Diceros bicornis minor: one gene and its partner. Each later gene encodes a partner of the first gene's protein in a complex. Links are inferred from orthologs where the notes say so. Each region holds a gene or a part of one and is shown in the gene's direction. Other genes may lie near its edges. The genes, in order: MAP3K3 and CCM2.

What was found.
Region 2: the proteins of MAP3K3 (region 1) and CCM2 are in contact, whole or in part, in a crystal structure (PDB 4Y5O), measured with the Homo sapiens proteins. The link is inferred for Diceros bicornis minor from reciprocal best matches to the Homo sapiens genes MAP3K3 and CCM2. Residues at the interface, in NP_002392.2 of Homo sapiens: Asp2, Glu3, Gln4, Ala6, Leu7, Ser9, Ile10, Met11, Asn12, Asp13, Leu14, Val15, Ala16, Leu17, Glu50, Asp82, His84, Met86, Asn88, Glu89, Leu90, Ser91, Ile92, Leu93, Arg117, Leu119, Leu121, Ser122, Gln123, Asp124; in NP_113631.1 of Homo sapiens: Leu299, Tyr302, Met303, Leu306, Arg307, Ser312, Gln313, Ile315, Gln316, Gln317, Phe318, Ala319, Ala320, Leu321, Leu322, His323, Glu324, Arg326, Glu333, Ile336, Asn337, Gln340, Leu341, Leu353, Phe356, Pro358.

What each region holds. Positions count from the first base shown.
Region 1 is NC_080757.1:46,475,707-46,491,416, forward strand, and holds the start of MAP3K3 (mitogen-activated protein kinase kinase kinase 3), read left to right. Parts: upstream 1-7,687; 5' UTR 7,688-8,074; coding exon 8,075-8,078; intron 8,079-15,710. UniProt on the Homo sapiens protein: Component of a protein kinase signal transduction cascade. Mediates activation of the NF-kappa-B, AP1 and DDIT3 transcriptional regulators.
Region 2 is NC_080780.1:1,909,880-1,925,689, forward strand, and holds the start of CCM2 (cerebral cavernous malformations 2 protein), read left to right. Parts: upstream 1-9,747; 5' UTR 9,748-9,778; coding exon of another isoform or gene 9,779-9,808; intron 9,809-15,810. UniProt on the Homo sapiens protein: Component of the CCM signaling pathway which is a crucial regulator of heart and vessel formation and integrity. May act through the stabilization of endothelial cell junctions. May function as a scaffold protein for MAP2K3-MAP3K3 signaling.

The sequences.
Region 1 (15,710 bases):
AATGATAAGGGACTACCAGGACCTACTTTGCCCAGGCCCCTGTGTGTTCTGAGATTGGTCAGAGTGGACCTGTCAGCAGATTGGACTGCTCTCAGACAAGGCTATGCCAAGCTGGTTTTGAAAGCTGCTTGGTCCCCAGAATGCCTAACCCTAGCTCCTTTTCATCCCTGATGCCAAATGATGGAGCACAGGAAACTGGAGAGGAAAGGAGAACAGAAGGAAGGGTGAAGGGGTGAGTCAGAAGCCTGGCCAGGTAGGAAATAGGGCCCTTGGTGCCTTTTGCTCCTAAGAATCACTTCTGGGTTTAGAGAGACCAGGGGTGCCAACTACCTGTGCTGTAGCCCATCAAGCATGTTGGGCCTGGAGTAGCTTTTTGATCCCTGTCATTCACCTACTTATAAATTGTTTAAGCAGTTCTGAGCTCACGAGTCATTTTCCTGAAGGAGCCTCAAGTAAATGAGGATGGAAAAGAACAAACACCAAATTGGGTATAAATGTTAACTTCAGCTTCTAGGAAAAACAGATTACTAATTCCATAGTGACTTCAACAGCTGGAGAGCAAAGGCTAGGGGGAGGAAAAGCAATGAAATAATCCATGATCATGCCAAAGCATATGCTCTTATACCTCATTTCAGAATCCTGATACTACCTGGGATTCTTTAGTTTTTATAGGACATAACTCATCCAAATATCTGAATAGCACATCATTGAAATAGGGCAACTTCAAGTTTAAATGCTGCTTCATAATTTACAAGATACTTTTTTGTGTGTGTGTGTGTGAGAAAGATCAGCCCTGAGCTAACATCCATGCCAATCCTCCTCCTTTTTTGCTGAGGAAGACCGGCCCTGGGCTAACATCTGTGCCCATCTTCTTCCACTTTATATGGGACACTGCCACAACATGGCCTGACAAGCAGTGCATTGGTGCGCACTTAACTGCTACGCCATGGAGCCGGCCCTCATTTGTTTGGTTTTTTTTTGCTTTTCATAACAAACCTATAAAATAGGCCAAGTGTTTTATGCACAAATGATCTCATACCAAGCAGATGAGAACAGGTCTAATAGTACACTTTGTACTGATAGACCTTGGTTTATAAAAATAGCTGTTTTGTAAATGTTGAATATAAATTAATTTAGAGGACTCTGATAATTTCTGATCTGAAAAATATGCACTATGGGAGCCCACTCTGGGAGGGAATTTGGCTACTCCTATGAGTAGTCCTCTAATCTAATAGGATTTGTTAATATGGATTCTTGTGTAACTAATTTTCTTACATCAAGGCATACTAGACAGCTCTGCACTGACCCCTGGTGGTGGTGCAGTCTTTGCTGTAGTTAATATGGGAAAGGTGGAAATGAAACCTTACTTGGACCTGTTCTGCCTCTAGATCTGGTATAGAGACCCTTAGCTACATAAATTAAATAGTTAACTAACTACATAACTGAATAGTTAAATAGAGAGGGCATGAGTTACTCTGCCACTAAAAATTATTTTTCAAGGAATATTTTATGTCAGAGAAAATGTTTACAATATAATGTTAATTGCAAAACAAAGATGCAAAACTATATGTATAGTATGGTCCAAATTTTAAAATATGTATCATACTGTATATATGAACTTTTTAAAAAAGACAAGAAGGAAGTGTACCAAAATACCAAAACTGGTTATATCTGGGTGATGATATTATAACTGAGCTTTATTTTCTAAAATCATGTATTACTTTTATCAGGGGAAGCATTTTTTAAAAAAGAAAATTTGTCATATTATTGTCCATCTAGGGAGACAGCACATGAGAGGCCGGGAGTCAGGTGCACCTTAAAGTCAGAAGAACGGAGTCTGGTCCTGGCTTGCCTTTGCCTTATCTTTGGTCATTGTCTTAGCAGCACAGAATCATTCAACACCTTGCAGCTGGCTTGGGCTCACTTTCAAGTGTCCTTTCAGTGGATGGAGGTATCTCTCTCCGTAGCCTTGACTCTTACAAGAAGTGTTCATGCGGTAGGTGGGTGCCCCACCCCACCCCCCTGCCAGAGGCCCCGACTGAATTGAGCAGGAACAGTGAAGGTTCTGCCTCCAGCCAACCATGGAAATTCAACTATGTGGTTGAGTTACTTTTTTTTTTTTCTCTCTGAAGCTTAGACTATATCAGTCAATAAAGCTTCAAACTCTAAGAGAGGCCAACTTCTAGACTTTTATTTGAATCCCTGGGAACTTCTCTGGAGACATTCTATGAAGAGAAAATAAATGAGCCAATAGATCTGGCAAAAGAGAGTGTTAAGATAGATACCATACTAGTCTTAACTGAAATCACTTTCTCTCTTATCTACCCCCAGACAGTGAATGGGACAGCAGTTTTCACTTTTTTCTCTTTTTGTCTTTCTTTCGTCTAGGCCAAAAAGGTAACATTTATTGTTTCTTTAAAAAGTCAAACTTTACAGAAAAATGTAACAACAACAAAAAAGTCCCATCTAATCCTATCTCCTAAGATATAACCACCATTAACAATCTACTCTATTCCAGTCATTGGAACCAGTCTGCTGGGGAACAAACTCTGACTCTGCCAATTGCTAGCAACCCTGAACAAGAACTTAATCTCTTTGCACCTATTTCTTTATCTATAAAATGGGGATAATAATACCTATTTCATAGGGCTGTTTTGAGAAATAAGTTAATATGTGTTAAGAATTTAAAACAGTATCTACTAATAGTAAGTGTTTAATAAATGTTGGCCTTTTTTCCCACCAAGTATGAATGAACATTTTTAAAAATTGAAATGTGATCACTGTGTACATTTCTGCTTTACAACCTGTTTTTTTTTTCCCACTTCCTACTATATCATGGACACCTGAAGGTAGTATGGAGAAGTCTGCTTCATTCTTTTTGGTAGCTACATAGTATTTTATTGTATTAATTAATACACCATAATTTATTTAACTAGTCTCCTATCAGCTGACATTTGGATTGCTATCTTATCGCTTCTCGGCCTTTTGGCTAAGATCAGGTGTGGATTGCTATCTTACAAAAGATGCTTCAATGAACATTCTTTACCTTTGCTCACTTGCAAAGTATTCTTTAGGATAAATTTATAGAATGGAATTTCAAAATGAAAGAGATTCTTCTTTAGAATAAATGTCAGTAATATATAAAACATCATGGTTGTAAAAATTTTCCATGTACATCATTCCTTAACAATGCAGATAAACTAACTGGTTGAATTGGTAATCTGAATATATTCCACTTTACCTCTGAATTAAAAGAATTTTCCTCAAATCAGGTGATAAGTTTGTTGGTTTGTTTTCTTTTTTTTTACACCAAATTCACTGAGAATTCATTAATTTGTATTTATTGTTCCCTATCATATGTCCAAGTGTCCCTATGCTCTTGAAAGAAAAAAAGGAAACTGTCCAGCTGGTGTATGATTGGGCTGCCTAACGGGACCAGCATTTTCTGAGGTCCTGAGCACTAAGGGTAGGTTGTGATCTTTGGGGTCAGATATGGCTCAGGTGCTTAACCAAGGGCATCTACTCAGTGTAAAACCAGGGGAACAGAATTGAGAAGGCATGGCCTAGCTGGGAGCCTTCACATGGGGAAAATGAAGAGTGAGGGGAGAAACAACATAGAAAGAGCAGATAAAATATATAGCTAAAAGGGCACACTTGTGGAAATTATATTCAATTACTAGCATCCCCATTTGAGGTTCATTTATTCAACAAATACTTGTTTTTTGAATGTGTTATGAAAGATGCTAGACATACCAATTTGAATGACACAGCTTCTGTCTCTGTGTTTACTTTCTTAAAGGCAATCACATTAGAGTAGGACAAGTACTTTGATCAAGAAAGTACCAGGTGCTCTGGTACCCAGATTTGGGGGTATCTGCCTAGAAAGGTTTCCTGGAGAGAGTGATGTTTATGCTTAGTTCTTCCCTGACAGAACGGGGGTGGAGGCAAGAGTGCAGGAAAAGAGAGTTTGAAACAGAGAAAAATAGCACATGCAGAGGTGTAGAGGCGGGAGAGAGTCATATTTGAGGAATTGCCAGTGGTTCTGTGTGGCCAGAATATAGAATTTGAATGATAGGGTTGGGGAGGTGGGAAAATGAAAAACTTGTGGCTGGAGAATGGCCTGGCTCCTGAAGGGCCTTCTTAGCTACATTCCTGTATTTGACTTATCCTAAGGGCGATGGGAAACTATAAAGTTTTTAAGCAGAGCATGACAAGATCAGGTGTCTGTTTTGAAAAGATCACCCTGTGATGTAAGCACACATTGGGAGGCTGTTACACTAATCCAAGTAAGAGATTTTGGTGGTTTGAACTAGGATGGTGGAGCTGGGGACAGGAGAGGAGTGGACAGATTGGAGACATGGTCTAGATTAGCTCTGGGGGAAGGGAAATGGAGAGGAAGAGCTCTCCAAGTTAGACAACTCGAAGGCATCCAACTTGGGGAACTGAAGATGGAGAGAGGAAATAGAGAACTATGGAGGAAGATGATGAATTCAGTTTGGACCTGTGGAGTCCAAAGTGCCTATGGGATAGATACGCAAGGAGTGACGCCTCTAGAGTTCGGAAGATAGTCCAGTATGCTAAGTGCAGTGTGAGAATGTCTGAGACGGCTGGTTAAGGGACAGACAATGGAAATGAAGCCCTCAAAAAAAGCAGTTACTAGAACAGTAGAAGGAAAATCAGAAGGCTCTTTTCAGCTATGGCTTAGTAGTTGTATGGCAGTTCTCTACTATATACCAGGCACTATTCTAAGTGTTGGTGATAGAGCAGTGAACAGGACCAAGTCCCTGCTCCTACATAGCTTATGTTCATTGTAGGTGGAGAGAAGACAAATAAGCAAATATATAATTACAGGCACTATGAAGAAAAATAAGGCAGAATATGGGGATACAGAATGACGGAGGAGAGAGAAACTATTTTGGATGGGGTGGTTAGGAACTGTTAAGTAGTTGATGTTTGAGCAGAGACCTGAATGAAATGTAGGAATTAGCCATGGGAACATCTTGAGGAAGAGCATTCCAGGCAGAACAAATGGCAAGTGCAAAGGACCTGAGGTGAAAGGTCCTGAACTTGGTAGGTTCAAAGTATGGTAAGAAGGCCAGTGGTAGACATGGGACAGGAGAGGATGGCAGGGGCCAGCTCCTGTTGGGCCTGGAAGGCCACGACAAAGTTTGGGTTTTATTCCAAGTGTGATGGGAAGCCATTGGAGACTTGACAGCAGGGGAGTGACATTATCTGAATTACATTTTACAAGGATCACTCTGGCTGCTCTGTGGAGAACCATTTGTTGGGTGATCACAGAGGAAATGAGACCAATTAAGAGGGTAAGGCAGTCATCCAGGAGAGAGGGTGGCAGCCAGGACTAGGGTGGTAGTGGTAAGAAGTGGTTCGATTCAGATACGATTTGAAGCAAGCTGAAAAGACTTGCTGAATGATTGGATATAGGGGTGTTAGAGAAAGAGTGAAATCAAGGAATATTCCTCCTAGGTTTGTATTGTAACAGTTGGGAAGATAGAGGAGCAGGGTTTTTTGGGAAGGGGGGAAGGAATCAAGAGTTCAGTGTAAAACATGTTAAATTGGAGACATGTTTTAGACATTCCAAGAGAAGCTGCTGAATAGACCTCTGGATACAGGCAAAGGAGTGGGTACAGATTTCCACTGGCATAAATGTGTCTCTTTTTAATATTTATCTCACAGGTCAATAAAATTAAGGGTCAGATCTGAGCCTCAGATTGGCAGATTGTGACCTCCAGCACTGGCCTATTACATGCATTCTCACCAGGGTGATATCCCCAACAGGTGAAAAATGATTCTTAAGGGGTGAAAAAAAATCAGATAATACAGTGGTATGTGGCCTTCAAAGCTCAACCCTACCTGACAAAATCTTATTCCTTAGTATTTAATTTCTCTCATTAGGGAGAATTTAAGTAATTTAAAATTTTCTCCTTAGGGGGTGATAATGAAAAAACAGTCAAGAAACACTAGCCTAGTGAAAGAACATGGCCTTTGGGTGTCAGATGGACCTGGTAGGAATCCTGGCTCTACCACTTGGACATGGTACTTCTCTGAGCTTCACTTTCATCATTTAAATGCCAATAGTATCACTTACATCAGGGTTATTGAAAAGGTTAAATGAGATGATGTACCTGGCATATAGTAAATGACTGATAAATATTACTTTTCTTTCCCCTTTATCTCCCCTTCCCAGAAAAGAGAGATTATTATAGTTAAAGAACTACAATAAACTGGGTAGGGATCTAATCAAGAGTGAAAATGATGGACTTAAAAGCTTGTTGGAGAAAAAAAAACCTAACAGGATAAGAGGCCTGATTAAATATTGGGGGTGGGGGTTGTAAATATGGGAGTCTAAGGTAATTCTTGAGAGATTCAACACCCAAGGCAAAGCCAGCACTAAATGTTCTTAGTTGATAGTTGAAAATGGCATCTGAGGAAGATTATTCTGGCATCTAATTTATAATACACTTGAACAGGGACCAGAGGAAGGGAGCCCATATTAATTGTGGTGGACTTGGAATCTGAAGATCTGAGTGTATAAAATGTTGAACAATGGGGAAATTAATTATGTTCACTCTCTATTTTGAAATATCATGCAGCCAGTACAATTGATTTGGAACAATATTCAGTAGCACAGGAAAACACTTAAAATGTAAGCACACTACAAACCAATATGAAGACATCTTTGTCAAACGTTGTATATCTAGGTAGGAAAAAGATAAAATTATTTCTGGGGTGGGATTTTTATTTAAGTATCTTTTTCAATTTTAATACAAAGAGCTTGTATTGCTTTTATAACCAGAAAAAAAAGTTTTTTTTTTCCCGAAAGAACCGCTCTGATTTTGCCACTTACTGGTTTCGGCCCAGGCCAGCAGCGGAACTCCCATATTTCCAAGGACCCACATTCCAGCACTACCCCAGCCCCTCGGAGGGTGTGGCCTCGGAGGTATGAGACCCAGGAAAAGGCGGGCAGTGGTGAGGCCGCCCCTGCCTCCGGGCAAGCACAGCGTCTGGACCGGAGCTGCGGACTTGCCAGGGGATCCGGTGGCAGAGGTGGACACACGCCGGGAAGCGCTCAGAGCCAGAACGCTCTCCGCTTACTACGCGCCCGGTGTGGGCACTGGGAAGGGCAGGACGCTGGCTTCAGGGACCGCCGAGAGCCAGGAGGGCGAGAGGCCAGGGGGCCCCTTCAGCCCCCGTCACAAACTCCTGGCCCAAAGTAGCCGGCGGGGAACCGCGCCAGCCCGCGCGCCCGCCGAACCTTCGGTGACTGACGGGAGGTGGGGATGTGGGCGGAGCTTCACGCGCGAGCTGTGATTGGAGTAACCAACACCTCCGGGGAGAGAGGGCAGCCAAGACCCGGGGGATGCGCAGAGGCGGGTGCTCAGAGGCCTCTACGTGATTGGCTAGCAGCGGAGTGAACCAGGCGCTGTTCCGATGATTGGCAGGCGGTAGACAGCCCTCAGAAACAGCCGTGGCTTCACTCATTGGCATCCTGTGAGAGTAGGCGGGAATGGTTCATCGTGTGGTGCTGGTGATTAGCTGGCGGCTGAGAGCGAGTTGGGGAGGGAGCGGGGGGGGGGCGGTGGGAGCAGCGGCTTCCTTCTTCTTATTGGCTGTTGAAGTGAGTAGGGGTGGTACGAAGGTCCAGCGACTCCCTGGGATTGGTGGGTGCTGGGGTGAGTGACAGACAAGGGGGCGAGCTGCGCGACCAGCGGTTTGTTTTTCGGAGCGTTCCTGAGGTGGAGAACGGTGGCCGGACGGAGAGACTGCGAGACTGAGGGACTGCCGGGCGGGCGGGTTGAGCGGCGCCGCCGAAGCCGGGCTGGGCCGAGCCGAGGAGCGCCAGGGATGTAGCGGGCCACCCTGCCCATGCCACAGCGCCCGGCCGCGGGCGGAGCCGGAGCCGGAGCCTGGGGAGGCGGCGGGGGCCCCGAGCGCAGCCCGCGCCCCCCGCGCGGAGCCAGGGCCGCTGCCGTCCCCGCCGCCCGGGCCCCCGGCATGCAGCCCTGGCTGCGCAGGTGACACTCGGGCCCAAGCCGCCGCCGCCGCCATCGCCACCATGGGTGAGTGTCGCCACCGCCCCGGCCTGTGCCCGCGCTGCTTCGCGTCGCCCCGCCCCGGGCTGAGGGGAGGAGGACCCTGGGCCGCCGCCTGACAGGCATGGACAGCCCGCCCGGCCGGGGCTGCAGACCGCCGCGCCCGCCCGCCCCGCTCGCGGCTCCGCGGCCCGGGTGGGGGTTCTGGCGCCCCCGGCCCGCCGGGGCGGTCCCGGCCGGCGGAGCCCCCTCGGCAGCCTCCTTCCGGGCCGCGCGGCGGGCGCGTCCCGAGGAAGCGGCGGCCGGGTCGAGGGCCCGTGCTCGGCGGGGCAGCCCGCTCCGGCCCGAGCGAGCCGGCCCGCGAGCCCGAGGGCGGGGGAGCGAGAGCGCAGTGTGGGGCCCGGGCTGGAGGCTGGTGCAGGCCCAGCTGCTGTTGTGTCTTTTCCTTGATTTGCTTTTTTTTCCTGCCTGTGTCATTTCCTTCCCTTTGCTCACACTGGCCGGCCTGCGAGAGTTCCCGGGGCTCGCTCTCGAGCCCTGTGCGCGCCCGGGAGCAGAGGGGAGGGCGTGCGGGAGATAGGCTGCGAGGTGATTAAAACGGCAATCACTGTTATCAACAGCACGGTTGAGAAATGCGAGCTGCACGCAGATTGCTGGAGGTTAGGAATTGGTCGGGGGCTGCCAGTTATAATTCACATCCTGCTTTTTGAAAATCCGGTTGCAGTGTTTTACATCCATTATTTTTATCTTGCGGTATCCCTGAAATTATGTAACTTTTGAAAGAGAGCAGCATTCGCTACACAAAAGAGTCTCTATGAAATCATTTCCTTTTTATCAATATTTGCAATTTCTGTTGTGAAGATGTAATCTAAGAAAGGCTTTTAATGTCTTCCGCACGCAGCATTTGAACTGAATTGTATTTCATGTCCTTTTTGGTAACTTAGCAAATGCCTGTTGGACTAGATTAAGAAGCAAATAACATTTTAGATGTATTTTGCTTCTCTTGTTGAATCAGTTATTGTGATACTCTTGTCCGCAATCACAAGTTTTGCAAAGTATTTGGTATTATCCTAAATAATAAAGGGGTAAACTTCAGTGAAGGGATCCTTTGCAAAGCCATTCATTGCATCTGTGAAGTGCCCCATGTGAAGAGAGAACATTAATATTTGCTTTGCCCTATAGCAAGGTCAAGTCATTTTTGTAGGGGGTTAAGTGTATGCTGTGTCACATTGGGCAGATATTCTTTTGCAGCCTGTCTGTACACTCTGGCTTTGAATGAACTGCCTTGTTCTATTCCATGCTGCCCCTCATTCAGTAAGGGATGGGTTTGTTCATTTGCTGGGCTTACTGTTTCGTTCCCTTACCTCAGAAGTGCTTGCTCCTCTTTGGAAAGTCTCCTATGACAGTAGGCAAAAAAGGAACCTAGTAAGGCTTTGTATTTAACTACGTAATTGAACAAATACTTATTGAACATTTACTATAAATGGGGTGCATAATTCTTCTTGTCCTCCCCAGGCTTCAAACATTTATCTTGTGTTCTAGAATTTGGTGATTGAACTAAATCTTTGAATTGTGGGGGTAGTCTTAAGCCCCAAAGGGGGTGTGAAATACTTGGCGGTGTGCAGACCTCCCACTCCCCACTTTCTTTCTTTCTTTCTTTCCTTCTTGAGGAAGATCAGCCCTGAGCTAACATCCATGCTAATCCTCCTCTTTTTGCTGAGGAAGACCGGCTCTGAGCTAACATCTATTGCCAGTCCTCCTCCTTTTTTTTCCCCAGAGCCCCAGTAGATAGTTGTACGTCATAGTTGCACATCCTTCTAGTTGCTGTATGTGGGACACGGCCTCAGCATGGCCAGAGAAGCGGTGTGTCCGTGTGCGCCTGGCATCTGAACCCTGGCTGCCAGTAGCAGAGCGAGCGCACTTAACCACTAAGCCACAGGGCTGGCCGGCACTCCCCCCTCCCCCACTTTCTTGACTGCTAAACTAGTTAGAGTGCCCAGATGTGTTGGCTACATTTCATAGTCTAACATGAAAATAGATGTCAGCCTGTTTTCACATTTCAAGACATTTTCAAAAAATTTAAATATGTGAGTATATGGAGAGACGGTGATGGGGAGGAAAGGAACTATGTAGGTAGGATCTAGATCCCCAAAGAAAAAAGGACCAGAAACTCAGTGTCTTCTCATTTGGTGGCTGCAGTATATTAGGCAAGCTGGTTTAAGAACCACTGACTAGGGCCGGCCCCGTGGCTTAGCGGTTAAGTGCGCGTGCTCAGCTACTGGTGGCCCCTGTCCGGATCCCGGGCGCGCCCCGATGCACCGCTTCTCGGGCCGTGCTGAGGCCGCGTCCCACATACAGCAACTAGAAGGATGTGCGGCTATGACATACAACTATCTACTGGGGCTTTGGGGAAAAAAATAAATTAAAAAAAAAAAAAAAAAAAGAACCACTGACTGGGGGCCAGCCCCGTGGCATAGTGGTTAAGTTTGTGTGCTCTGCTTCGGAGGCCCAGGGTTCGAGGGTTCCCATCCTGGGCGTGGACCTACACACCAGTCAGCAAGCCATGCTGTGGCGGCATCCCACATAGAAAATAGAGGAAGATTGGCACAGATGTTAGCTCAGGGATAATCTTCCTCAAGCGAAAAGAGGAAAATTGGCAACAGATGTTACCTCAGGGCCACTCTTCCTCACCGCCCCCCCCCCCAAAAAAAAAGAACCACTGCCTGGCTTTCTTCAGAACTCTCCCCTACCCCCGCATACCATTCTCTCCGTCTTTTGTAGATGACCTTGACATGCAATTAGAGCTAATACTGAATTCTCCCAGAAGCTGGCTCTTTATGTAGGGCTCAGCAAGGATAAATATGTACATACACACACAGTCTCTCGCTTAAATACTAGTGTCCGTTTTGGTGGTATAAATGATGAAAATTCAAATTCGCAGGTTTTAGTTGCTGTGGTTCTAGATGAACTCAGGTGGTTGATGAGAGAGAAACATGGACTTATTCATATTCTCATTACACTTGTTAAACTCCAGCCCAGTGAGGAAAGAACTAAAACTAATTTGAGTCCCTGCCCTGCAGGTTCTTTGGTTAAGGGTCGTATTTTCCTGAGTTGTTCTAAGCCCCAAACTCAAGCCTGTTTGACAACTTGGGTTGGTAATAAAAACAGGTCAGATTTTATATTGGCTGTTAGCCCCAGTAAATTTCTAGTGGAAACTACACTTATCCCTGTAAATAATAGGAAATGTTCTTTTTTTTGGCTTTGATACTGTGTGGTTATTAAAAAAAAATGGGGCTTGACTGGTCATTTTTTCTTGGTCACACTAGAATTCTCTCCTAGTTTTAGTAATTATAGGCAAATGCTGTTAATAATACCTGAGATTAATTTACTAGCATTTGTTTGGATTTTTTTGTGTGTGTGTGAGGAAGACTGGCCCTGAGCTGACATCCGATGCCAATCTTCCTCTTTTTGCTGAGGAAGACTGGCCCTGGGCTAACATCTGCGCCCATCTTCCTCTACTTGATATGGGACACCGCCACAGCATGGCTTGACAAGTGGTGCATCGGTGCGTGCCCGGGATCCGAACCTGCGAACCCCGGGCTGCCCCAGCAGAGAGCTCACACTTAACTGCTGCGCCACCGGACCGGCCCCTGTTTGGATTTTTCATAAATGCAATCTGAAACTTAGTGGGAAGTATTACTGAAAAGTATGTAACAACTTAGAAATGTTACAGGAAACTATAGTGAACTGAGTACAGGATTAAGGGTGGTGTGGTTCTGGTTTGATAGCTTGGTTTGAAGTCAGAATCACTGTGATTTACAGACACCTTGTGTCTCTAGAGTTCCAAGTCTGTTGGGAGCTCCTAGTTAGATCAGTCTCAATTCAGTTTGGCTAGAATCTGACCACGTGTGTAGACTCGGAATCGTTAGCAACTGTTTTGATTGAAATTGGGATCCCAATTTAATGAATCAACATGGCTATGTCACAACTAGATTTCTGATATTTTCAAAATTGATAGTCGGATTTTAAAACTGAATTTTAGGCTTTTGTAAAGAGCAAGTATCTGTCCAACTGAGCATTACTTAGGGGAATACACAAAGGATAAGAAGCAGTTTTCTTGGTTCTATCTATGTAAGCTATCCATTTATTCTTTGCCCATTTATTGAATGTCTCTTATGTGTCAGGGGCAGTGTTAGGCCCTGTACCTGCATTTATTCTGTCCTTAAGAAGTTACAGTTAGGTAAGGTGAACCAAAAACATGTAAACAAATAAGTGCAATAGGTGTCGTAGGTACTTTGTCAAAACTGTGTAAAGGTACACAGGAAGGAGCGATTCTATAGTTCAGGGAATGACATACATAACCCTATAGTCTTCAGGCCTTTGATTTAATTTCATTAAACATTAAAATAAAATATAGTGGTAATATATTGATTCTTATGAGGAAGCAGTGGCTTACTTTGTAATATGCATTTTTAAATTTTGGACCACCATCAATTAGTATTGAAGGGCTGTTATATCCCAGAAAAAGAAAATAAACACAAGAATTTGACTTTGAGCTCTAGCAAAGGTTCAACCATGTCCTTGAAGGAAACAAGTTTCTTATGAATTGATGCTGGGGCCTTTTTGCTTATATTTGCTATAAAATGATGTTTGCCCAGGTATGGACTGGGTAGAGGCAGTGGGAGTATATGAAATGTCATGAAGAGTAAGATAGTAAAATCTGACTCAGCGACACTCTGAAGCACAGGATCTCCTGGGTGAGCAGTGTGATCAGATGATCTGGCAGAGCGGGGTAGAGCGTTGACAAGATGAAGAAATAACATTGTTAGTTAAGTGAAAACAAAGATTAAAATATTACTTTGGGGATGTGTATATATGGAAAAGAGTGTCTGGCATAGTAAAGGGACATCATGTAGGACAACAATGTTTATTGAAGGACATGGTGCTTCTGGAGACTTTTCTGGGTTTTTAGCCAAGGGAATTCATGAATGGGAGTGCGTTAAGACCCTGCTTTTAGAGAGAAGTAATAGTTCAGTCTGGAAGAGTGACTTCCTCCTGGAGCTCAAGAGAGAAGAGTGTGTTGCCTGGCAGCCTCCATGCCATAGGTCAGGGTATGAGGAGAAGAAAAAGTACGCGCTGCTGGATGATTATAGATATCTGTCTGCTTAAGAGCTTCCAGTTTTTAAGCCTGGACTCTAATCCTTGTTTCATAGATCCCTTCTTTTGTATTTTATTTTTTTTAATTAATTAATTTATTTATTTATTTTTGCCCCCAAAGCCCCAGTGGATAGTTGTATGTCATAGCTGCACATCCTTCTAGTTGCTGTATGTGGGACACGGCCTCAGCATGGCCGGAGAAGCGGTGCGTCAGTGCACGCCTGGGATCCGAACCGGGCTGCCAGCAGCGGAGCTCGTGGAGCTCGCGCACTTAACCGCTAAGCCACGGGGCGGCCCATCTTTTCTATTTTCTATGAATAGTCCTCCCCTCTAGATTCTTAACCTCTTAATCTCTAGAGTGAACTTCTTCCTCTGTGCTTCTTCCTAGTTGCTCAGACCACCCCCATCCTCTGGAAATCTTTTCGGGGTTATAGCACACTATTACCCGTGCCTCAACTTGTTCACATGTAAAGTTCACAAATGCATTGTTGATTTCCAGTACTTCCAATTTTCTTTTCATCTCCAGCTTCTTGATTCCCTTTAAAATTTTGTTTCTGCCTCTACCACTCTGCTGGATCTGCCTGGCCTATGCCTGCCGCTGCCCTTCTTTGGTCCTGGCTTCTGTGGTGTCACTCTTTTGTTTTTTCTAATCCTCTTTAAGGCTTATTTGCCAGCATACCTTCTTCCTACTCTACTCGATACGGATTACTACTCACTGAGGATCAGTCCTTGACTCTATTTTCTTCCCCTCTGCCCCTCACTTACTTTCATGACCTTTCTCTCCTCAGTTCATTTTTTAAGCTCTCCTGCATAGCTGGAACAGCTTGCTTTTCTGAAAGAATCTTTATTCTGTTAATAATTTTGTAAAATCATCTCTACAAGCTTTTGCTACTCACATTGTAAAAAAAATTTTTTTACACATGTGCATCTATGTACTCTGGTTTGTATATTGTGTAATTCAATCTCTTTATTTGTATAACCTTGTATTTGTGTGTCATCTATCCTTTTACCCCTAGAGTTTGAATACCTTGAAATATCTTTCAAAAACAATCTAATGTATAATACATGATAGGTACTCAGTAAATGGTTATTGTTAATATTAATAAAAATTCATGAATAAAATTAAGTATTAGGATTGATTAAGCGGCCTCCAGTCTTTTCCCATTGACCTTTTTCCATTGATGATAATAATAGCCAGCATTTTTTTTAGCATTACCAGGGGTTAGGTGTCATGAGGAATGATTTGAAAGTTTTTTTTTTTTGTTTAACTCTCACAGAAGCTCTGTGAAATGATACTTTTATTATCTCCGTTTTGCAGATGAGGAAATTGAGGTTGAGGGAAAATAAGTGATTTGTTCAAGGCCTCCTTAAATCCAGGTCTTTCTGACTCCAAAGTCCATATATCTGACTGCTGCACTCTAAGAAAGCTGCTGTTTTTAAAAGTTTTGTTTGTTTGTTTTTATTTTTTAAGGAATGCCATACTGGAGTGCTGATAATTCAGTTAAAATCTCAATCCAGGAAGAAATGCCTAAAAGAGCCACTTGATTTACTTCCTGTCTTTATCCATGTCCTCAGTTTGAAGTATCAGTTTAAGAACCTGTCTGCCTCTAGCAATGTATTCGACACAAAATCAGATTCTATAACCCTGTTTCACTTATGTCTGTTGTCCTGGATTTCAAGAGATAGTGCCAAACCATTCCTCTAGTGTGTTCTCAGCACTGGAACTACCAAACAAGTTTATCCATTAAGTAATGCCAGGAATTGGTTAGCTTCCTGGAAACAGAATTTGTCAACCTGATAAACCAGCTCTTATAATAGAATCATCTTATACAGAATTAGAAATGATTTCTCTAGTCATACTTGTCGTAGATTTGACTTGAAAAGTGTGTGTGTGTGTGTGTGTGTCTGTGTGTGTTCACATCCATCTTGTTTCACTATCTGAGTTGAGACAACAACTGAAATTCTCAATTCTAAGGCTGGTTATCTTGATACGGAAAACTCCATGCATTCTGCTGTTGGGAATCTCTCTTGATGCTCCTCAGAAAACACCTACCTAGTCATAAACCTCCTTATAATGATCCCAGTTTACTGTTACAGTTGCCTAATAATTTTATACATATATATTATATTTAATAATACATAAGCCAATTTAATATATAAGCCTCTGTATATTATATATGTATAAACCAATCTTCCTAGCTTAGGTGTTATGTTCTAGTTTTTAAACCTTGGTTGGGAGGTTAAAAAATGAAAAACCAAGCAAGTGCCCTTTCTTTAAGAAGCCTGTAGGGAAATTGCTAGAAAATATAAAGTAATTGATGGGATATATGTGTTTTAATTTTAACAGGTCTTTCTGTAGATACCTACTTCTTCCTCATTCGTTATCCCTTTTACCTCATTCTTTCAGTACAACTCGATCACCCTCATACATACTTTTGTATATATTTTGAAATGGAATTAGATGGGAAGCTACTCTACTGATGTTTTTCCTGCAAGTTTTAA
Region 2 (15,810 bases), on another chromosome or scaffold:
ATTTAGCCTTTGGTTTGCCTCTTAATTGTAAATATCCTGAACCATCAGGCCCTCAAGGCAGGGCTCATCCCTGTTGCTCCTTGCTACTCATTACTCCCTGCTGCTGGTCCAACTCCACCTTTACCACTCCCTCGGAGCTTTATTTTCAACTTTTCTAAGGCTTTTGTTTTAAGAGTACAATAAAATTTGCAATGAGCCTGGAACACAGCAAACACCCAAAGTCCAAAACAACTTCTGCAGAGATGTGAATGTTCTATACTTTGCACAGTCCAGTACAGTAGCCATTTGCCAAATATGGCTATTAAGTATCTGAAATGTAGGTAGTGCAGATGAAAAACAATTTTAAAATTTATTTAAGTTCAACTTAACCATATGTGGCAAGTGGTTACATCAGACAGTACAGATCTATACAACACTCTGCACACCAGACAGGGAAGGGAGCAAGCAGTTGTCTGAAATTTCTATAACCTTGCTCTGGATGGAGCAGGGCAAGGCCTCAAACCGTTTCAAAATGTTCTCGCAAGCACTGTAGGAATGCACAGGGTCACCCCAGACCCAAGCACGCTGGAGGCTTGCGGCCCACTCACTCAAACCCTGAGCTCAAGCTCGGGGCACGCAGCAGTAACGCGCTGAGCCCCAGCCCCGACCGGAAGCCGAGAGAAGAGACCATAGGGTTGAATTGGGCCTACGTGCGTTTCTTCCACGAGCGCACGAGCACAAGTAACTCGGGCCGATGGTAGGAAGCGATGGACCCCAGACACAGATCCTTTCTGGCTGAGGGAGCGAGGGAAGGAGCCTCGGGAGAGAGAGCCTTATCAAGCAGATAAGTCGATGGGAGCTAAGTGTACTCCCTATGACCGTGTAAGTCTAGAGCTGAGGTTCCTACACTTATGCGACCGCAGAAACATTCCTATCATCACATCATTACACAAAATGGCCTTTTCTTCCACGTTCTTCTCGGTATGTATTTTACGTTCAGCAAACACTTCGGAACTGTAGGCCAAGACACAGAAGTAGGCTCGGTTCTCCCGGTGAAATAACGGTGGAGAGAACAGGAGGCCCATGCGCTCATGGTTCGGGGCGGGGTGGACGCGGGACCCGCGCAGCGTCACTCAGCAGCGCGTCCCCGCGACGAACTACTGCGACCGAGTCGAGGGCCGACCCCTGGAAGGCAGGCCGCCAGCTCAAGCCGGCCTCCTACCGCGCCCGAGTCCTCCTCCTCGGGGCAGGCCGTACCCACAACCCCATTCCCCCAGCGCTGCCCCTAAGGCCGCATGTGTCCTCCGAATGGGACCCTCACAAGCTCGGTTGGAGACCCCCGCCCGCCGCAGGGCCGACCGGGCCGGGCTAGGTACCTCCGGATCCCTCCCCACCCGCCCGACGCAGCCCAGCCCGCGACAATTGAGGGGCCAGCGCGCCCTCCCACCGGGCCCCGAGGCCCCACAATCTTTACCCGGCCTCAGCAGAGGGCAAGCACGGCCTGGGACCCTCGATGGCCTCGGATGACGACGATGGCCAGGAGCAGCCCGCGGCCGCAGGAACACGCTTCAACCACCAGCCATAGCTGCTACCCGGCAAGCCCGAGCCTGCGTCATCACGCGGGCCGCCGGAGGCCGCACGTGTCGTCACGTGACCCGGGGGCCCGGCGCGGCCCAGGGAGATGACGTCACGTAGGGGCCCGGGCGCGGTCTTCTCTGAGGATGGCTGGCAGAAGTGTGGTACCGGCGGAAGCTGGGTGGGGACAGGGGCTGGAAGGAGCGGGGGTGGGCCTTGTAAAGGAACCGGAGACCGGGAGGGGAGCGGGGCGGGCGGAAGGCCCCAGAAATGAGGAGCGGGACGCGGGATCGTCCCCGTTGAAAAGGGGGAAGACAGCCTCTTTGCTTTCAGAATGTCATTTTCTGCACTTTTCAAATGGAGATAAACCCCTAATGGCTAGGTAAGCCCAGGCTAGTCTCACAAGTCAGGAATATTTCCCAAGGACCCGGGAGCTCTGACTTTGAAATGTAATTGTCAAGGGGGACAAAGCGCGATCTCCGGTGTCCTGGAATGTTAAGGGCCCACTTGTCACCTGACTCCAAATTGCACAAGCTATCTAGTGTAATGGGCTCTGTCCACTTAGCTGTATAGGAGAGTGAGCTTTCTTTCTGTCCTTGTATCCCTTGAGTGGATTGCCTGTGATGCGCATCACATTCTGGTTTAATGCTTGTTCAATAAAATTCTTTCTCTTCTCCTTTTGTGAAGAGGTTTTCTGAGTTGGGAGGAGATTTTGTTTTTAGTTATCCGCACCCCCCCCCCCCCCCCCCCCCCCCGCTGAGGAAAGCACATCGCAAGGTCCTGAGACTGGAAAGAGCATGGCTTGTTAGGGATCCAGTTAAGTCTAAGGGGAGTTGGATAAGGACTACACAGTCAAGGGTCTTGACTATCAGGCTAGGAAGGTGAGAACTTGGTTCTGTAAGTAAAGGAAAAGCAGAGCAGTACTTGAAACTCATATTTTATGTATAGCACCTAGTATATACATTCAAGCAGTTTACAGCATACAAATCCCATTATTTCATTAAATTTGATGAGAGAGAGCAGGAGTATCACTTCCAGATTGCTAACATGGAAACTAATATTCACCCAAGATCTCATAGAAGGCTAGAGTTTGATGCAGGTTGTTCTAGCTCAGAGTTCACTGCTCTTTCCATTCTGTCACTCTGCCATGAGATAATCAAAGAGAACCAGGAAGGTAAATGGTTATGGAGGGCCAGAGTATGGGTGTGAGGGTGTGAGTGTATATGTGTGATCAAAAATGGTGAGCTCTCCCAGGGCTGAAAGAGAAGAGCTTTTTTTCCTAAGATGATAACCAACAAAATTCACTAGAGAGAGGAAGATGCTCCATCAAAACTTTTATCCAAGTAATAAGAAAGGATGCCCAAACATTAAAAACTACATAATCAAAGTTCAAGTGCATTATACTATAGGAGGCTGCATGAGACTGGCACAGAGATAGGACTGTCACTAGTTAAGTATCTTATCTGCTGACGAGGATTTTGAGAACTTTTTCCAAAACCACATCTGGAAAGAGTAACTCCATTATTCTTCGAAGCCAGTTGGAATATATGCCTGAAAAGAAAATTAGCAATTTGGCTCTGGAAGAATGTGGAGAGTCATAACCAAGGAGATATCAAAGTAGGGCATGCAAGGTTTCTTCCACTGGGGCCACACGGGGTGGCTGTACTTCTGAGGGGTCATTATGATCTAGAGTTGGTCTTGTCAATGCAAATAATCCATAACCTATAAATCTATAAATCTATAAATCAAAATTGGGGTGAGTTTATCATGAGCCAAATTTGAGGACCATATAGCCCGGGAGAGTCCTTTCATAAAGGAATGGAACACTCCAAAGAAGTGGGGGTGTGCAGAGTGGTTATATACTGTCAAAGAGCATGTATCACATGTGATTGCAATGTCCTTTTCACAAAAGTCATGAGATGGCCCTGTTGGCCCAGTGATTGATGGACGCAGCTGGTATCAGGCCTGCTGTCTTGATGGGCACAGCAGGTAGAAGGTCTGTTGTCTCAAGTTAGATGGTCACAGGATGAGCACAGCAATCAAATCCTAGCCTAGGGAGGAATGCTTATCCTTGAGGAAATGCCAATGTGGGGGAAATTGCATCCTTATCTTAAGGGCATTTGTTCTTGTCTTTGGGACATGGTAAATCCTTAAAGCAGATATACAGTGCATGTTCAAAGGCCACATCAGGCCCTTCTGGAAAAACAAGGTCAGGCTGAATTAGTTTTACACCAAGTGGCTTCCTCATTATAGTCTATATTCCTCAATATATCCTATTGCTTGCCATTTATCTATCAGATTGGTCCGTTGTCATTTACAGGCTCAGAAACCGGATGTATAAATTCATTGAGAATTCACTTGAATCAATGTTACCGAACCACGTTTGTTTTTGCCTGTCGCCCAGAAAGCCAAACACCGAGACAACGAGATTGCACTAGAGAGAGGGTTTAATCACAAGGCAGCCAAGTGAGGAAAACGGGAGAACAAGTCTTAAATCCACCTCCTCGATAATGGGGACTCAGGGATATTTATGGAGTAGGGGGCAAGGTGGTCTGAAATGTGGAGGTAGATGATTGGAGGTGAGGGGAGGTGAGGTAATTGATGATCTGCGCAAGTGTAGTCAGACTTCATGCCTCTTCATAGGACGCATGTTCACAAATTGGCAGCGTCACTGTGACCTGAGGGTGGAGTTTTAGCCTCTTGACATCAAAAGGTTGCTTATCAGACATGTTCGTGGGCCCAGTTGATGGGTTGGTGGTCTTAACTGGCCTGAAGTGGACAAGGGGTTCTAATTCCTGAAAAACAGCTCAAACACCCATTACCATGGTGATCGAAGCTCCAGGGAGATGTTATCTATAGGAACCTAGTGTGAGTCGGCTAGCATATTGCCTAAACAGCACAGTTGATGATGGGTGGGTAAACAGCTATAAGCTATAACCAGTAATTGCAAAAAGGAAAAAAAACTTGAGTTCCTAGCTACTTAATCATCAATGGCTAACTGTTTGCTGGTTTCATCAACTCTAAAGAAATTCTCTTCTTTGCTAATTAAGTCAACGTTGGATTTATCACATGCACAGCACAGTATGAGGTGTAGCATGACATATGTCAAAGAACAACTCAGGGGCATCTAGTTAGTTATCTGCTAGCTGTTTATTTCTTATATGAGGGAGACAGTTGATGGGTGAGAGGGACAAATAGGAAAAAACTGAAGTCAGCCTTGGGAACAGTGAAAAGATTCACTTAAAAAAAATTACCTGGAAACTAGCAAAACTGTGAGTCCAGGAAAACTGTCTTTGAGTAGGCCAATCGAGGGTAATTTTCAGTTGTTCAGGGGTTTCTTGAAAACTAGTCTAGCTAGGAAGCATGTGTATGAAGCTGTGTTCAGGTAACATCAGTGCCCTTTCATCTTAGTCTGGCCAGGTGTGTGCCATTTCTCTCAGAACTTCTCAGATACAAAAAGGAATCTCATACAGTCCCTATCTTTAAAGGAACTTACAGTCTAGTAGAGGAAATGTCCTAACATGGTTAACTCCAGCATCAGAGGCATATGAATAAAGTGCTCTGGGGGCTGGAGGAGGGAAAAGTTGCATCCAAACGTCTAGTGGAAGAGGTGATACTTGAGCTGGGTGACAAAGCCCAACAGCCAAGTCCCCCAGGGACAAACCAGGCATCCAACAAACCTCGGTTAATTAACTTGCTGCAACAAGGGAGAAGCCCAGAGGATTCTGGGCTGCCTCTCATTATGAGAGTAGAAAGGGGGTTCTGTAAGATTTGGGATTGCAATGAATAATTCCGAGGAGGGGAGAGGGGAAGTGAGGCTCAGCTCTAGATTGTTGCTTCCATGAAGTGCAGACAATTTAGTAATTGGGTCTCAGTTATTTTTGTTCATGGGTTGGGGCCACAGAGAAGGCTAGGGAGGTTATTGGTAAGAAAGCAGTGACCATGAAAAAGAAGGAGGCTGTTAGGACACTTTACAGCTGAGGTGTGACCGTGGGAGAAATATTGTTTCATGTTAACACTGCAGCTGACCTCTTCAGGGTCTGTTACGAGAGACTGAGTATACAAATGGATGATGAGTGGACCAATTATAAAATAGAACTCTGACCCACAACCTGCAGCAACCAGCACAGGAAGCCAGCTGCTGTAAGTCAGACTTGGTGGAACTCAGGCTGCTTTCTCTAGTGACAACCTGGGAAGCCACACAATAACTCCTGTAACAATCCAAATGAGCCAAATGACCAGGACTTGGTGAATAACTGACAACTTCCCTAATTTTTGTTCCCACTTCCTACTTTGGACCAACCAGAGATAGTCAAACACATTCCCCTAACCAATCATGAGGACACCCCACTTCTAGTTAGCCCACCTCCAGCTTCCCCAGGCACACAATGCCAGGGCACCCCTGAGCCCCCGTTTCTCCACCATGAAACTCTCCCCATCCCCTGCCTGCCTTTGGGTCTCTTGCAAACCAAGTGACGAGGGTGACTCTCTCACTATAGCCAACTCTGAACACATAGCCTTTGCTTGTTCTCATTTGGTTGGTCCTTGTTTATTTCCAAAATTATTACCATCTGATTATTAGTAGGCAGAATTTTACTTGAAGCCTGGTCTTGTGTATGTGGATTTGAAGAAGCCTGAGGAGAGTCAGCCTAGGGTCAGGTTGTGAGATAAGAGAAAATACACATATTGGTCTCTCCCCCAGTTCCTGGCACAGAGCTCCTACATCCCTTGGAATTTCCTGGGTGGAAGGAGTGTCTTTTTTTCTAATGAGGCGACTCTGGGTGGGCTCCTGGATGGTTCCTGGATGGGAGCTCGTCATCAGAAAGACCATGATTAGAAATTTAAAACTTTCAGCACCATCTCCATCCTCCAGAGAGGGGAGAGGTGTTGGAAATGGAGTTAATAATTAATCATGTCTATGTGAGGAAGCCTCCATAAAAACCCCAATATTCTGGGGTGCGAAGAACTTCCGGGTTGGTGAATACGTGGAGGTGCTGGGAGGGTGGTCTGCTCAGGAGAGGGCATGGAAGCTCTGTGCTCCTTCCCACGTACTTTGTCCTAGGCATCTCTTCCATCCGGGTGTTTATCTATATCCTTTATCATATCCTTTAATAATAAAGTGGTAAAGAGTAAGTAAACTGCTTCCCTGAGTTCTGTGAGCCACTCTAGCAAATTAATCAAACCCAGGGAGGGGGTTGTGGGAACCTCTCATTTATAGCTGATTGGTCAGAAGCACATGTGACAACCTGAACTTGAGATTGGCATCTGAAGTAGGGGGCAGGGCAGTCTTGTGGGACTGAGTCCTTAACCTGTGGGATCTGATGCGATCTCCAGATAGACAGTGTCAGAATGGAGTTAAAGTGTAGGACTTTCAGCTGGTGTCACAGAATTGCATGATATGGGAAAAACTCCCACACATCTGGTGTCAGAAGTGTTGTGAGTGTGGTAGTAGTGAGAGTAAAGGAGAAATACAGGAGTAGATTGAGTTTTTCCTAAAACACAGGTTAAGGAAAATTTTAGCAGTGTTATTTACTGCATTACAGAGTGACAAGTATGGAAAGGTCTTAGTGGAAGACCTTAAATATCAGGCCTCTGTTCTGAGAATGGTGGGAGAATAAGTACCAAATGCCCTGCATTATCTGTGTCTGTGAATGTAGTAAGCTAAATTATCTCAGAAGGTAGATTGAAAGGTCATTTCCTGCAGCTCTGCTTTATGTGCCAAAGGGACTGGAATACCTAATGCCTTTGGGGAGTGCTAGACACCAACTATTTCTTTGGTATCTGTACCAAATAGCGCCCAGTCAGGAGACAGAAACATGGTACAGGAAAGATTTAATATAAAGGATTATTAAGTATAATGGGATTAGGGTAACAAGAGATTGGCTAGTAAAAGTGAAGAGAACTGAAGAATGCAAGAATAGTAAACATAAGGAGCAGCTACTATTCTGAGGGCTGAGATAAAGCTCCCAGGGAAGAAACCCCCCTACACCCCCAGGGCTGAGATCCAGACTTTTGGAGAGCGCATAGCTACAGCTCGCCGAATGGCAGAGAAGTGCTGGCAGAACCTGCAGTCCACCCTCTAGAAGGCAGGGAAAGCTGTTCGTGGGGAGGTGTCTTGCTGAAGCACTTGGATATAAAACTTCCCAAGGTGCATGCTGGGGGAATCTGCTGGCAGCTGTGCACTGCAGAGCCAGATGCTGCGGAGCACCTGTACTGGAGGAGCTCCCTTGATGTTGGGAGGTGGGTGCTGCAGAGGCCTCTTGTTCTGCAGGTGCCTGCCAAGAAAGCTCACTGGAGCCAGGCAGCAAAGCCCCTTCCTCCTACACTGCCTCCCAGCAGCTTCTACTGGCAAAGCTTTACACTGGACCACGCGGAAAAGGAGGAATGCTCAAAGGGCCCAGTGCCATCCCACAGAGCAGAGAATGAGAGTGAATATGGAGCTGAGAGATAATACATTGACACTGGCACAGGATCCAATACTTTAATTATATCAGTTGAGACAAATATTGGTTTGTTTGGCATCAGTTTACATTCTAACTGTGCTGCATGGTTCCTATTGGCAGTTTGGTTTAGTGGCAAAATAGTAGGCCTGCTGCTGCTGGCTCCAATTTGCAGTGTGCTTTGGGCAAACCACCTGATTCTCTGGACCTCATCTGTAAAAGGGTGGCAGTTATTCCAGGTGACTGTTGAGGTTCTACATTTTATTCTGATAGGGTCCAGACATGCTTGCTATTGAATTTCCACTTTCCTGATGTGTTTGTCTAAGGAACGCAGGCATTGAAACAGAAGAAGTCTGAGGCCAGCCCCGTGGCGTAGCAGTTAAGTGCGTGTGCTCTGCTGCTGGCGGCCCGGGTTCGGATCCCAGGCGCACACTGATGCACCGCTTGTCAGGCCATGCTGTGGCGGCGTCCCATATAAAGTAGAAGAAGATGGGCACGGATGTTAGCCCAGGGCCAGTCTTCCTCAGCAAAAAAAAAAAAAAGAGGAGGATTGGCATGGATGTTAGCTCAAGGCTGATCTTCCTCACACACAAAAAAACAGAAGAAGTCTTAGAAAAGGTCTTCATGGTTGTGAAAATTAATAAAGGAAATCTCAACTAAAATTGGAGTTGGGAAAGCCTGTAGAGGGAGCTCTACACGACCTACCATTCATCATCAATTACCCCAAATGGAAATAAACGTACCTTGTGTTTCCAGCAGGAACTTGGCTACTACGTTACTACCCCAGCAGGAGGAAGGAAGATTTTCTTCTCGCCTGGCAACAAGCTCAGCCAGTGGAAAACACCCCAACTCAGCCAATGAGGAGCAGCCACCACCTTGAACTCTTACTGTCCTCCAGTGAACTTTTGTTTAGAATAGCCCCTTCCAGCTCCCCTTTTTCATTCTCTGGACTTGCTTGTGGTTCGCTGTAGTTTGCATGTCCCAAATTGCAATTCCTTTGCCATTCCCAAATAAACTCATTTTGCTAGTAAAATAATTGGCTATTTTATTTTAAAGTTGACACTGTGGCAGTGGGAATGAAAGGGCAAAATGAGAAAAAGAAAGGGAGTGGACCCCTGCAAGCCGCGCCCTCACCTTGCCACAGGCCCCACCCTCCTGCAGACCCCGCCTTCACCTCCCACAGGCCCCGCCCCTTCCCACTCGCTCCTCCCTCCGCCTGCCACGATCCCCGCCCTCCTCCGCCCGCCGGCCAAGCCCTCCGTTTCCCATCGGCTTGAGCTTGGCCTCCCTGAGCGCGAGGCAGGTTGGGAAGTGGCTTGCCCTAAGGATGGCGGCAGAATTAAAAAGCTATAGTCGCTCTCACGGCCACGAGGGGCCGGGAGGCAGCTGAGGGCGGGGCAGACCCGCTCTCGCCCTCCCTGAAGCGCGTGGGGCGGGAAAGTGGCGCAAGAGGCGCGCTCCCGCGTCCCTGAAGGGGCGGGGCAGGGCAGGCGTGTTCCCGGCTGCCCCGAAGGGTTGGGGGCGTGGCGTGTGGGCTGGGGGGCGTGGCGTGATCGCGGGGCGTGGCGGGGGCGTGGCCGCCCCTCGGCCCGGAAGTGCGGGGTGCGGGGCGCGGGGCAGCGACGGCCCCTGGCGGCCGCGGGTGGAGATTGCGGCCGAGCGGGCGGTGCAGGAGCAGCGGCAGTGGCGGCGGCCGTGGGGGCCCGGCGAGCATGTAGCGGCTGCGGGCTACGTGGGGCTCCCGGGGCGGGGCGGGCCGGGCCGCGGGGGCCGCTCGCGGCGACATGGAGGAGGAAGGCAAGAAGGGCAAGAAGGTGAGCGTGCGTGGGCGCGTCCTCATGGGCGGGGGCGGGCTGGACCCCAGGGCGAGGCGGGCGGAGGGGCCAGGGCTCGGGGGGACAGGGGAGGGTCCCTCGGGGCCGCCCTTCGGTCTGCTGGTGTGGGGTGCGCGGAGGTCCGGCTTGGGGAGGTCCAGGGAAGGGAGTCTGATTTGAGGAGGCCCGGCGTGGGGAGGCCCGGGACGGGGAGGCCCGGCGTGCGGAGGTCCGGGGGCGCACACGGTTGGTAGTGACCCTGGCGGGAAGGCTGAGGTTCCCCGGCGGACAGCGCCCGGTCAGGCCCGGGACGGGGCCTCGGGAGTCGTTCTCCGCGGATGGGGTAGGAGGCGAGCCCCTGGACAATGGGCTTAGGTGGTCCCGCCGGCCCGGCGGGCGGGGGAGGAAAGAGCCACGCCTTTCCGCCCCTTCCGGTCAGTGACTCTCCCCAGACCTAGGCTCTCCACATGGCCTTTCCCTCGGGTCAGTGACCAGTGGCTGCAGAAGAGCTGGCCCCGGTTAGGGCCCGGAAAGTTTTCCACGGTTGGTATCTTAGAGACAATGGGGTGTAAGCTTAATGTAGAAACGTTTACCGCTTAGTTGGCGTCAATTTTTGATATCAAGTAAAAGCAAAAGCTGCGCTTCGCGGTACAGCTCGTTCACGGGTTTAGTTTTGCCCTACCTAATACCAGCTGAGTGATGTTAGTGACATTACATTTGGCAGTTGGATTTCGGACATAGTTCAGACGCTTCTTAGTTTATGTAGTTTTAAAAATGTGGCTTTAATTACAGGCTAGAGCAGTTGGTAAAGAAACTCAACATTGTAAGGAGACTGAAATAACCACGTGAGATAAGCTACCATTAAAATGGAAAGTGAGTTTCAATTAAATGCATATTTTTCAAATACAGGCTTTATAATCTGCTTAAATGTCTTACCATTTTCGTTTTCATAAATGTGTGTGTGCACTTTTATGCACAAGTTTAAAACAGACCTTGCTAAATCCTATGATCTTACCACCGTCCACTCTTCAGAGCCAGCTGTGTCCTTCAGTTGACGATTGCTCATCACCTCGTTTTACAAGGTGCCTCATTTTAAAAAGGTCGTATTTGAAATCGAGTATAACCAGGTGGTCTTCGGGGGATTGTGTGGTGCTGCTTCCCTCCCTTTCTTTACTCATTGTTTTGTTACATTATGAACAGGCATGTCTAATTTAAATGCCATATCTGTTGTGGTTACCTGCAAAGATGGTTTAAGTCTGGAAAACAGCCTAAGAAAGTAATTCAGCCTACAAGCATTGGACTGCAGAGGGATGCTGCCCACCACAAAGGAGGAAAGCTGAGTTTAATGTTTCAACCAAAGCTGGTAGAAGTCTCCAGAAGAAATTCAGTCAATCCCCTCCTTCTCTGTCACAGACAGGCAGGTGGGCCAGGGCCCTTATAGGAGATGGCCTGTCCCCAGTGCTCTTGGCTGCCAGCATTCTACAGAATAGTTAGCTCACTCCCCGCAAACACCAGTCCTTGCCACACAACATCTTCCACAATCAGGCCAGACAGTGCCTGGTAAGGAGAGTCACTCCTTTCAAGTGGGTGCTAACCTGGATGGGATTGACTGAATTTCTTCTAGAGCCTTCTACGAGCTTTGGTAGAAACATTAAAACATTGAGTAATGTTGAGAGTGACAGAAGCAGTAAGACATTTCTGAGGTTTTGGAGTGGAAGTGAAAAAACCAGTAAAACTCAAGAATTTTGGAGTTGGGGGCAATGGAAAGATTAGGCATAGAGAAGGTTAATGATGAATTTCATTGTCTCTGTTAGAGGAGATAATCAGTTGTCAGCTAGTTGCCTGAGCCTGGAGTTTTGTGTTGTCTATGCTGCCACTGCCCCAGCTCATTTTCCCACGGGCAGGCCAGACGGAGAGCTCTGGGGCACGGATTCTTATCCAGGCCATAACTTAGCACACTGTGCCCGTTGCTCTCTGCCAGTCGCAAGCTGGCAGAACCTTCCTGCCCTGCTCCCCTAGTCGATGTGAAGTCACTTCCAACTCGTGAAATTTGGTACTTAAGTTGTTCTCATTATGGTAAATGAACTAGAGATACCTATTTTAAAACTTATACACAAATTCAAGCTCAAACAGCAGAAGTAATGACAATAGTTTTATGGAAGTACAGTTTAGACATTTAAATTCTCTTTCCAAGTTAGCTCCTTCAAAAAACACACATTTAAACCTTTAAAAATGTGGATTGGTGAGCTTTTTTCTGGTCTTCAGACACTTGTCTTAGTGTTTTGTTAAGCAGTTATTCAGGCTTGTTCTAACGTGGCCTGTTTCCTCAGGGCAGGAATCAGCAAGCTGCCAGAGACCCAGTAGACCAGAGTGGATTTCATATAAAGTTGCCCCAGGTACAGCCATGTTCTTTCTCAGGCTACCCTGGCACATATGGTGAGGGTGACTTGAGCCCCTATAATGTCCCATGGAAGGCGCTGGGTGATGGGGATGCAGGTGGAGCCAGTGGGGAGATGGATAGGTCGTGGTACGTCTGCGGGATGAGTGTGTGGACAGAGAAGTCCACTGGCTGCTAGAGATGTGGGGTCCGGGGAGTAGGAACGACCACCGGGGTCACTCTCCTGCCTGGATGTCCCCAGAGTGACTGGTACCTTTCAGACCACAAGTCTTGATTTGGGGTTTGGAGAATAAGGCTGCCTCCTTACAAAACGCACCCAAGTTCCATGTGTTTCGACACTATTCTGTTAGGATGTAATTTCTTTTTATAAGAAACTTAGGTGTACACTTGAGTTGGATTGTGTGCATTTTTAGAAAAACAGTTGACTCACATGAGTGTCACAGCCCATGAGAAGTCACAGCTGTGGGAGGTCACCATTGGGCCTCAACCCTGTTTGGGTCATGGCTTCTGCTGCTTCTCCTGCTGTTAGGTCATGGGTCGCACTACTGGTGGCCATGATTTCAACCTGAACAAAGTTAAATATTTTTAAATTGATCTACTTTAGTTGCATTCTTTAAATAAAAAAAAAGGTTATAAGGTACACTAGAAATGTGGGACTGGATATTAAATGATAATTAGGAATTATTGATTTTGTTGGGTATAATAGTTGTAATATGTTTTGTCAAGTTCTGATCTGATAGACATCGATACTGAGGTATTTATAGGTGAAATACTATGATTTCTGAGATTTGCTTTACTCAAACTAGGAAAAAAAAGAGGAGAGATAGCTGAATTCTTTGGCAATGGGTGTTCATTATATTGTCTACTTCTGTGAAATTTTGAGAGTTTCCATATAAAAGGGGAGAAAAAGATCCCCTAGGTTATGGGCCCTGGATTATCAGCTCATGTACCTGCAGAATCCTCCTTCAGCCAGTGTCTGTGAAGAACTGGGAGCTTGGGCTGGACCATTGCCTTTAAAACTTTTGTAACTCCAGCCATCAGACAGCCATACCTTCTCCACTGATGTGTGCACTTGTGTGTAAATGTTTATAGCTGAAATGAAAGTTTAAAGAAATGGTGCTTACTACAAGCAATGCTCTCTGATTTTTTTATTCCATTCTTTTTTTTTTTTCCTCTCATTAAAAATACTGCTGGTCATGACCTACTAAATTGCTTTTATAACTGAATTGATTCTATAGCTGTCATAGCCGTAACATGGGTTAGCAAAGTGAATTTGGGCCTCTATACCTTGTTATATCTTTCCTCTTAGATAGTTGTCACAGTGATTCTTGCAGGGCAACGTGGCGCCCCAGGGTGAGGAGGCCGGAAGACCAGGGCAGAAGGTGCCTGGTGGAGACCATAGGTTAGACGAGTCTGGAATGACCGGCAAACATGAGGCTCATTCCTCTCTGGTTTGGAGAGTTACTATTTATATAGTATCATGTATTTATTAATTTTCCACGTAAGGATCTATATAGTCCCTGGACCCAGATTCTGTTACCCACTGACTGTGACGATTTAGATTGAGAAAGCACATCAGAATCTTGTAGTGCTTCTCAGTTACTGCTCTGAGCGTCATCGAGGGGAAGATAGTGTAGAGGGAAACCTTTCTCTTAGCAGTGGTACTGCAGTGGGGGGCTGCTCTGAAATGAGAAGGGCGTTCAGCATTCTGCCTCATGAGTTTGGGGACAAGTGCCTTCTGTACCCAGTGAGTTTGGTCACTGCAGTTACTGTTGGTCTTAACATTTCTTCATTTCTGTCAGCAATAATAACCCAACTCCTCCATCCTCATCACCACTCTCGTGTTAGTTAACAGCCACAGTTAAGTACCGTAGATTTAGCTGATCAGCATGAAATCATCCTATTTATTTATTTGAGTGTCTATTACATGCTTACTATAGTGACAAGAAGGGTTGAGGACACTGCATTCTTTTTGAAGAGTAAGCTGCTCACACAACGTTAGAAAATGAGAGAGGGCCAGTGCCATCGTGTCAGGAGAGACATGGGTGGGTGTCAGCTAATTCCACGTGGGGGACCATGTACGTGACGTTCAGAAGCAGGAGAGGTGGAGACCGAGGCCCCGCAGTGCTGGGAGGGCTGGGGGGCGTGGTGGGGGAGTTTGGGTTTAGTCATGTGTGCAGCTGAAGCCACTGGAGGTTTTTATTTATTCTTTTAAGAACCGTTCAGTGGCATGGACTATGTGCCAGGCGCAGATACTGGGGAGACGGGTGAGTTGGATGTGCTCTGTGGCCGCAGAGCTTGAAGTGGAGCTCAGAGGACAGGTGAGGGTGGAACTTTAGGAAGCGTGCTTTGCTAAGAGTGAATAAGAAAACCTTGTTGTTATGAAGACATCAAGTAGAAGCATAGAGAAAATGTTGTAATGACATCCCCGTGCCCCAACTTCAAACATGGTTGGTGCATGGGCAGCTTGTTTCAGGTTCAGTTTTTCCTCATCCACCCCTGCTCCCCAGGTGTTATGGGCTGAACCATGTACTCCTCAAATTCATATGTGGAAGCCCTAGTCCCCAGCAACGGAGAAAGGGTCTGAGATATGGCCTTTAAAGAGATGATTTAGGTTAAATGACGTCACTAGAGTGGGCCCTGATCCAATCTGGCTGGTGTCCTTATAAGAAGGGGAAATTGGGACACAGGCACATGCAGAGGGAAGACCATATGAGGACACAGGGAGAAGACAGCTGTCTGCATGCCACGGAGAGGGGTCTCGGGAGGAACCAGCCCTGCTGACACCTTCATCTCCACCTTCCAGCCTACGGGACTGTGAGGAATAAATGTCTGTTGTTTGAGCTGCCCGGTCTGTGGTGTTTGTTAGGGCAGACTAAGCAGGATATTCTGAAGCAAATCCTAGTTGTCAGCCTGATGTCTAGTTCAGTGGCCCAGTGCTAGGACTGCGTGGTGGGAATCAGTCTCAACCTAGCCCAACGGTTCTGAGGACCTGGCCTCCACTCTTGCACCAGACACAGATGAGCTACTCAGAGCAGCAGGATGACCCACCCTGTGCTCTGTGTGGGCCGCAGACCGCACGCTCGCTGTGCCCTGTGGCCCATGATGGGCTTTCCGCCTAAGGTCTGCAGGGGGGTGCGCTGAGCCTCGTGCCATCTTTGCGTGGCTCCTGCGTCACTGCTCTGCTTTGGCACTGTTTGCTGCTCGGCTTGCTCTTTCTTAGTCCTCAATCCAAGAGCAACGGCTCTTGAAATGCGCTCAGTTTTAATGATTATGCGGTTGTAAGGGAATTTAGCTTTGTATTTGTCAATTTAGTAGAAATAAAAAGGAAATTTCTTTAGCTCTGTGCCAGTGCCAAAAATGTTACAGTTTTTCCTCCTAAGTGTGCCTGAACAGTAGCAGTTTTTGCTGGATCGTGTTAAAAATTAGGGCATTTGATCGCAGGCGTGCAGTGAAAATAATCCTCTTCAATAAGTACAGTAGGAGGTTGGAATTTGGGCTTTTGTTTGAGGCTTAGGATAGTGAACTGCCGTGTGTCTTGTAACCCAGGAGGTGGAAAGCATAGTTGAATTCTGAACATACGAGAACAGTGGTGAGCCTGACC